2 linked regions of the Nothobranchius furzeri genome follow. The protein of the gene in region 2 interacts with the protein of the main gene of each other region in a pairwise test. Links are inferred from orthologs where the notes say so. Each region holds a gene or a part of one and is shown on either strand. Other genes may lie near its edges.

What was found.
Region 1: the proteins of chchd2 (region 2) and lhx4 interact in binary tests that used the Homo sapiens proteins (3 or more experiments, as listed by UniProt). The two-hybrid records come from large-scale screens. The link is inferred for Nothobranchius furzeri from reciprocal best matches to the Homo sapiens genes CHCHD2 and LHX4.

The regions. Positions count from the first base shown.
Region 1 is NC_091748.1:57,322,013-57,326,422, reverse strand, and holds the start of lhx4 (LIM/homeobox protein Lhx4), read right to left. Parts: upstream 2,999-4,410; 5' UTR 2,598-2,998; coding exon 2,519-2,597; intron 1-2,518. UniProt on the Homo sapiens protein: May play a critical role in the development of respiratory control mechanisms and in the normal growth and maturation of the lung. Binds preferentially to methylated DNA.
Region 2 is NC_091753.1:38,185,604-38,190,149, forward strand, and holds the start of chchd2 (coiled-coil-helix-coiled-coil-helix domain-containing protein 2), read right to left. Parts: upstream 2,967-4,546; 5' UTR 2,826-2,966; coding exon 2,776-2,825; intron 1,869-2,775; coding exon 1,607-1,868; intron 1,399-1,606; coding exon 1,251-1,398; intron 309-1,250; coding exon 298-308; 3' UTR 1-297. Other genes in the region: insertion element IS630 uncharacterized 39 kDa protein-like, read right to left, coding at 4,048-4,546. UniProt on the Homo sapiens protein: Transcription factor. Binds to the oxygen responsive element of COX4I2 and activates its transcription under hypoxia conditions (4% oxygen), as well as normoxia conditions (20% oxygen).

The sequences.
Region 1 (4,410 bases), on a different chromosome or scaffold from region 2:
ACTTTATATTTCTAAAATAAAACCAATATTTGATGTTTATTTTACAGACATTATAAGTGCATCGCTGGTTTTTGTTCTCCTTAAATAGTTATCTATGACTGATTTTGATTCTCCTTATTCGTTTTCCATCCATCCATTTTCAGCCGCTTAGAGTCGGGTCGCGGGGGTAAGGCGAGAGGCCGAGACTCTTTCCAGCCACTTGGGCCAGCTCTTCCGGGGAAACCCCAAGGCGCTCCCTGGCCAGCCGAGAGACATAATCTATCCAGCGTGTCTTGGGTCTTCCTTTAGGTCTCCTCTCAGTTGGACGTGCATGGCCGGAAAACCTCACCAGGGAGTCGTTAAGGATGCGTCCTGACCAGATGCCCGAGCCACATAAACTGGCTCATTTCTTATTCGTTTTATATTTAAAAACAATAAATAAACAACTAATTACAAATTATTTGAGGTGAGAATATATAGGTTTTGTTGTATAAAAATAAACAATATGAGAAGAAGATTGCAGCCCTAAACTCACGCAGCAGAGCTGTTTATTTTGGAGAAAACCTCTCAACTTTAAAATCAGCGTATAAAGCCCTGGGTGTTTTAATCCCATCTCCTCGACACCAGCCTGAAAAACAAAACGCTGCAGACCAGACCGCGTATGCATTTTATACATCTCCCCTTTCATAATTATTTAATTGAGTAAACTAAAATGAAATTTATAATATCAGATAGATTTTGTAATTTACACATTTCAGTAGAATTTGACTTTTAAAACGTTAACATACTGGCTCTCTGTCCAGGGTGTACCACGCCTGATTGCCCATTGACCGCTGGAGATAGGCACCAGCTCCCCCCGCAACCCTAGCGGGTTCAGAAAATGGATGTATGGATGAAAACGTTAATAATGTAGAGTAAACGCAAAACTGTATTTCTGCACACGCACGTGCTGGGTTGGCTCCGTTTAATCCAAAACTGAATTAAAAATATTTAAAAATCGGCCTTTAAATGTGAGTAAACATCTGGAACATCTGGAGCAGAGTGGTGGGTGGATGGAGCTGAGACGAGGTGCTGAAATAAAAGCAGCACGATTCTTGGCAACGGAAATCCTCCAGCTTCAGTGCGCGTGCGCGAGCGCGCGAGAGGCAGAGGACCTCGTGGATCCAGAACGTTTCTAAGCAGCTTTCCACGTTTCTCTTTTCTGTTCCCACAGGAAGTGCGTCACTTTAACTCTCATTTTAATTAATCAATGGATTTTTAAAATCTGAAGTGGACACTCGTTAATCCAGACTAAGATCGGGCTGTTAACGGTTTGGATCCAGTCGCAGTCCTGAGTCAGCTGAGCTTTCAGTGCATGATATAAAATGCTCAGATAGTTTCTCTCACTGGTAAAATAATCCAGGTTTTACTGGGTCCTGGCGCCGCAGGAGGCTGAGTGGCAGGATCTTTAACCAATCTTTTAATCTGTCTCGATTTATAAAATTAAAGAGCATAAGCCGACCTCATTTAGACTGTCTTCGGGTTTAAATATGCCCAACAAACCTAAATTCACACAAAATAAATTAAAGCGTCCAGTTTTTCATCAAATATTAAATATTGTTGCAAATCTGTGACTATTTAAAAATACCGAATGTTCTTGGGGTTGTTTTGTAAATAATCTCATGAAGCAGCAGTGCGGTAATAAACTCAGCATCATCCCGTTTTGTCATGGATTATTTTCGGGGCTGGTCGCCTATTAGCCTCTCCATCTGTACATTTTAACTCGCCTATTAAAAATAATTAGGTCAAAGCAGAAACGGATCCAGTTGCACGTCAATCTTACTCCATGAGATTATATGAAGGGGGCTACACAACAAAACAACAGATGTAAAGCATTTCTGTTTGTGCTAAAAGGCAGAACATGATTAACTCTTATAATAATGATGTTAATAATAATGAAGTGTTGGTAATAACCCGTTTGTGAGTCAGAGCTTGAAATTAGATTAAACTGTGGAGCTTTTTAATTTGACCAATAATGAGTGTCAGGCAAAGCCAAAGTGTGTTCCTTTGACGGCGATGATGACAACTGCGTCTGATCTCTTGACCACGCAGCCTCGTTTACAAATTAACAGCCTCAGTGTGTGTGTGTGTGTGTGTGTGTGTGTGTGTGTGTGTGTGTGTGTGTGTGTGTGTGTGTGTGTGTGTGTGTGTGTGTGTGTGTGTGTGTGTGTGTGTGTGTGTGTGGCAAAGTTTGAGGCCGAATCAAAGAATCAACCCTCCCATTTTAATATATCAAACTTCAAAATCAGAGGAAATAAAGAACTAGCTTTTCTGCTGCTGCAGGTTGCAGGTGGCTGCAGACACATGCTGGATGCTCGTGAAAGACTCTCGTCTAAAACGTATACCTACTTTTGCAGCTGGAACCCTAAGCAGCATGACACATCACTGGCCTGCAAGGCTTCAGGTCTCCTCTCCTCATCCTCTCACTGTAACTAAACCCCTCTCTCTGCGCGGGTCCCACTTTGCAGGACAGAAAAAAGGGGATTTAATAGTGTCTTACGTTGCAGTGGCACTCCGAGAATCTCCGGTAAACTCTTCACAGGACTCTCTGTCGGTAAGACCGCCGCACTTTGCATCATCGTGATCCGAAGCGCACGCACATACACCCGCAACACGGTGGGCGCACTCCCCCGTCCTGCCTAGTGTGCGGGGGGGAAACGCTGCTGGTGTTTTAGTCCCGTTTCCGCTCTGCAAACCAGTGTCCGGTGAAACCTCTATCCCAGCTCCCTGTCTAGTCTCACGGTGATGTCCGCGCCGTGCCGTCCCGCTCCGCGCTGTACTGAGCTGTTTTTGGAGTAGCTCAGACAGACTGCTCGGTCCATTCAGCGCTGCAGGGGCGGCGGGACCTGACGTCAGCGCGGCAGAGGCGCACCGGGGGCCAATAGGAGACAGGAAGAAGATGCCCCCTCCCACTTTCGGAGGAGGCGTCTTAGGTGTACATGAGAAAGGGAGACAGGAGAAGAGGAAGAGGAAGAGAGTAGCCCAACATGTAAAATGTCTCCGGAGATGCGGAACCTCGCTTATGAGAGCATAAAAGGCACTGCAGTGACTTCCAGAGGGGCCGCGGGCCAGGAAGACTTGGAGTCCACCAAGCCAGAAAAATGAGCATGCAAAAATGGAGCTGTGCTTTTCACAATTATTAGCAAATAAAAGGTGAAATAAAAAAAACGTAGCGACAGAAAGATGTTTATTTAGTTAAAAGACACAAAGTGCACGTGTAAATTCTACGAAAAGCTGCCATAATAAAACAAAAATTCTCTAAAAATAATATTTTCAGGCACCATGGTTAATATACTTCCTCTCTGAAGCGACAAGAAGCAGCATTGAGAGGATATTGTTGGACACGTGTCTGAGTCAAAGCCACAGGAACCTGGATCACCTGTAGGAGCACTTCCTGTCGCGAGCGGCAGTGACAGGTGGGATATAGGAGTCCGGACGCAATCCTCCTGACAGAGCTCATTTTAGAGCTCGTCGTCTGATGCTGCTCTCCCGGAGAACGTATTCCCTCTGGAGGCCGCGAGTTCAACCCAGATGAACTCAATCTTCGCTTTCAATTTACCTCATGCGCAGAACACACACACACACACACACACACACACACACACACACACACACACACACACACACACACACACACACACACACACACCTGCATTACAGAGTCGCTTATTTAAAAAAGTTAACAGCTATTGCGTATAATTGCTTCATAAATAACTCAAAACAAGCTCAAACTTGCACACAAGTGAGTGACCGCACTTAAAAAGTGCGTTTTTTTGTTTTTTTGTTTATCAAGTCACAACGACGTGCAAAACATATTTTGTTTTGCGCCGAAAGTGCATGAAATGTGCATGTTTTGATTTTTATCCCGACTTATACCGTCGTTCTTCTGCTTTCTGTGTGGATTATTTGTTATCTTATCGTATTACCGCCCATTCTGCTCTCACAATCCCGTTTGCATGCATGCGTGGAGTTTCTGGTGTGATTCAGTAAAATAAAAATAAAACTCAAACACATTAAGATGATTAAAAATGGACACATTTCTACCGATATGAGGCGTCAGTCTTCAAGTCAGGTCTATCCATCCATGCTTGTGGCCTTCTATGAACAATCTACGCTTTTTCTCCAAATCTCAAATGATTTAGTTTCTATGAAACTACTCTGATGGTTGTAATCGAGGTCCAGCAAAAACCCAGAAAAAAACGCTCTTAACTTGTCAGCAAATGGAAATTCAATTAGAATAATTGACGGATGTATAAACATCTGTTTTAGTGGGGCAATGGATGATCTGATGATAATTTCTTTCTTTTTTCATCTTTAAAATTACATAGAACCCTGCAGAGACGATTTCAGAATAATCCACATCGGATTTATGATTATGGCATTTTAAAACTA
Region 2 (4,546 bases):
AAGTTCTTTATTAGTTGTCTTCTTGTTACAAGCAAATGTTGAACCAGAAGATTAAAACTAAGTATTTTGCTTTTGGTACATTTATGCTGATGAGAAGGATGGTCAAATTTAGAATTAACTGAAAACATGACACAGCAAAATATATAAACAGTATTTATAAAGACTATGGTTACAAACTGCAGCAGAATCCTAACAAATAAATGCTGATGATCATAAGAGAAATTATGTTTATTGACTGATCCCAGATAGTAACGATGTGATGAGGAGTGATACTGATGCTGCAGTAGTGTCTCCGTCTCAAGGTAGACCTTTGGAGGAAAAAAAGGTCCAATAAGACAAACTTTTTCTTTTCCTTAAGAACAAATAGCTGTGCTACTGAAATAAGAGAATATAAAAACTGAGTTTATTGTAGAGGTATTCAATTCCAGGCCTGGAGGGCCAGTTCGTTTTAGAGGTTTCTCTGCTCCAACGCACTTGATTCAGTGGTTGAATCACCTGTGCAGCAGCTCATCAGGCTCTGCAGAAGTCAGTTAATCACCTGCTGATTGAAATCAGGTGTGTTGATGCAGGGCTAAAACTAAAATGTGCTGGATATCGACCATCTAGGCCCAGAATTGAATACCACGAGTAACAGAAAAAAAGAAGCACACTACTCCTCCTCCTGGTCACATTAAGTACTGCAACACGTCACCAGAATAGTGCAAAGTCATGCCTTTGTCCCAATCTGCGGACAGCAAACCCTGTCCATGCCGTTATGGCGATTGGCTGAAGAACAATTAATTTGCAGCCTCATTTTAAAAAAAAACAAATCAATATTAGAATATTGACAATTTCTGACGGATGAACAATCAAATTTAACTTTAATTCAGTTAATGACTAATTCACTTGTTATGCTCGTTAACATCTCAGATGTCAAAAAGATTTATTAAAACTGAAACAACAGCATGACATTTTTTTAGAGCTCTTTCCTTTAAAAGCACATTTATAAAATACGATTCTGTAAAATCTTCAGCTAAGGATGATTTCTAGAGCACAGGACAGAGGACAGAGGAGACAACCGAGCACAAAACAGTTCAATCGCATGAGCCAGTGGTCTTTGAAGTGTGAATTACAAAGTGTTTAAGTGATTTGACAGCACAATAGAAATGGCAGCAACAAGAAGATGAAGACGGAACAAAAATAATCTTAACGATAGAAATATGAAAAGGTCAAATATGTTTTTTTTTTTAAATATATATATAAACACTCACCATTAGCAAACCTGCACTGTTTGAGCACCTCGCTGAATCCCTCACAGAGTTTCAGGTCACTCTGGTTCTGGGCACATTCAAGGAACTGCTTCATTTCATAGGAGCAGGCCTGCTGCTGCAGCTGCTGAGGCTGCTGCTGATACGGCTCCTGACAGACAGGCAGGTAACTTCATGTTTACATTTAAAATATTTTCATAATGTACAAAAATAAAACATCTAAATATCTTCAAGAAAAAGCAAGTATTCTATGTTTTGTCTATAACCAACACTATTTGAAGCTATGTCCTAACTGTTTGGCCTGTCACACTCTGATCTGATTCTATTCCAGTCTAATGGTCAGCTACACCTCAGTATACCTGGTACGTGACATCAGGCTTGGCAGGCTCAGAGTTTCCTCCACTGAAGGCTCCAGTCATGGCATGGCCGAGGGTGTGTCCTACTGCGGAGCCCACTGCTACACCAGCAGCAGTTGTGGCCATCTGTGCTAGCAAACCTGGCTGTCTGGGTGCAGCAGCCGGTGCTCCTAAGGCAGACGGAGGGGCCTGCATTGGAACTGGAGCATGGGATGAAGCAGGTGGAGGTGCAGCACGGGCCATAGGTGGAGGAGATGGTGGTGCCCTATTGTAAAGAGAAAAGTTCCACTTAAATGTCAAAGCAAATACTATCTTTCTTCTCGAGCTAGTTAGGATTTGCATTACTCTTAAATTTTAACGGCAAAAATGTGTTCAATACTGCACAGAAATCCACATGGGCCTTAAATGTCCAGCTGTTTAATCAAATAAAAGGTTGTGATTGCAGATTCTGACTCCATCACAGTACACTGTGAACGCGAATAAGAGCTTAAATAATTAGGAGTGTTTAAATAGTCTGGCTTGGGGTTATTTAGGGTCATCGAACACAGACCTGCTCTTAAGTTGCACAACAGGGTTCTGCAGGTTTTCATTTTATTTGAGTAAAAACTAAAGGCCCACAACCTGTTTCCACCAAAAACCAGCAAAATGTGGGTAACAAGGCAAAATTATAATTAATTTAACTAAGGTGGAAAAATAAGTTAGAGATAGTGACTGACTGAGATAACTACTTAAGTTTTAGGTAATTTACTTTTACTATTTATAGAGAATGAGAAAATTAAATATTCTAAACACTGTAGAAACACATCTCAAATAAAGTGTATTAAAGTACGACATACTTAGAGCTTGGTATAATAAGATGTTTTCACTAGTTTTAATTTTGCGCAATTTTCTGTTTTGAAAGGTTCAAAAACTCAACCTTTTAGCAACAATGACATCAAAATCACATGTGACCTTCATTACTTTGGTCGAAGACATTTAATAAAACATTATCTTAACATGTAGAACGGTAAAAACTAGTCTAGATGCCATCATTATGTTATTTAAAGCACCAAATTACATTTGAGTTTCTAGCAGTCTCAGCCTGACACGACACTTGGACGTTAGCATTTCTGTTAGCTCACATAGCTAATTCACAACGTTTCTACAACTTTAAATAAATTATATTTTACTACCTGGCTGGAGGGGCCATCCTAGAAGTCCTGCTTCTGCTTCCTCTGGGCATTTTAAACTATAAGGTAGACTTAGATGATTAATTTATTAAAACAGCCACAACACTGATCCACTAAGCCTCACGCTCGCAGTTTTATTTCGACCTTTGAATAATCCGGAACTTTCTACGTGTTACATCATTTGTCTTCCGACTGACTTCCGGTTCAACACAAACAATTGTGTAAAAGTTCACACTAACAAAAAGGCTCACTAAACGATTGACGTTTGTGGATCTTTGCATATATTTGTTTAATTAACCCCCCTGGCTGAATGTTTACATAAATTAATTCAACTGTATTGTATACTTAATTTGTAATTTGATGTACACTTGCACATTGTTAAATTAAATAAATAAATAAATAAATAAGCAATTGCGTAAGAGAAATGTATGGCTTATAAAAACTCCATTATATATCTCATATACAGAGGCTGAACCTAAACTACATTATAGTCATTGAGATATTTTTTTTTACAAAAAAAAAAGGTTTCTTAGTGTCAAGAAAAGTAATTTAAACATTAATGTGCTAGTATTATAACATTAACAATAATTAACTAAATGGGAAACATGCAAACATTTTAAACCACCAAACTGTCTTTATACTTTATTTCCACAAGGCAAGACCAGTAAGCAGCAGGTATGAGAATTCTTTACCAATTAATTCTTAGGTAGACCCAATACCTTATTTGCTAAGTTTATTGTGTTACAGTTTTTCTCAATTGTTTACCCACATTTTCTGAAAGCATGCCCCATATTTTCAGAACTCTACACACAAATCCAGAAAATAACCACACACAATGGGCAAAACCCCTCACTTAACCTGCAAAATTAAACACATTCAAAACAATGTACTTTCTCCTCAAAATGTGATTTTGTTGTCAAATGACACACACAAACCATCATGTGAACAGACATTTATAAGAACCAGCAGAACACTCATGTGCTCAATGTTAAACACTATGATGAATGGAAAACACGTCCTCTCCATTCATCATAATGACTAAAGCCTTTTTGGTTCAGTGTTATACCTACTACAGACAGTAAACACATGCATGTGTTGTTATTTCAGAATATTGTTTTTACACTCTGAACACACAAATACATGGTAGAAATTATTTTATTTTTCCCACAAAACATTGTACACAATGTTTATCCCATTCCCAACCAACACAAAGTTGCACACATAAACTACATCCAACAGAAATTTACTGTATACAGTTACAGTAAAACAATAAATCTATGCTGCATCCTCTCTTCTGTTGCGGTCTGGCCACAGCGCCTCATCCACATCACAAGCAATGTTGTCCCTGGCCAAGCAGCGGGGGAAATATCTCCTAGCATGGCGATTCCGGCCATGAAAAGAATCAGCTGCTATATCTCCACATGCATCCTCCATAGCTTGGAGAAGAGGTATACGGGTTTGTGGCTGTCGGTCATACACCTTCCGTCTCCATGCAGAAAAAAATTCCTCAATGGGATTGAGGAATGGAGAATATGGAGGGAGGTAAACAACTAAAAAGCGTGGGTGGCCAGTGAGCCATTTACGAACCACAGCAGCCTGGTGGAAACTTGCGTTGTCCCGAATGACAACGTACCTGGGCTGTTCTGGACCATCTACCTGGTCTGGTGGAATGAGTGTGTTATGTAGGGTGTCCAGGAATGTGATCAGATGGGCGGAGTTGTAGGGGCCAAGGGTAGCATGGTGATGGATGATGCCATGGTAGCCAAGCGCTGCA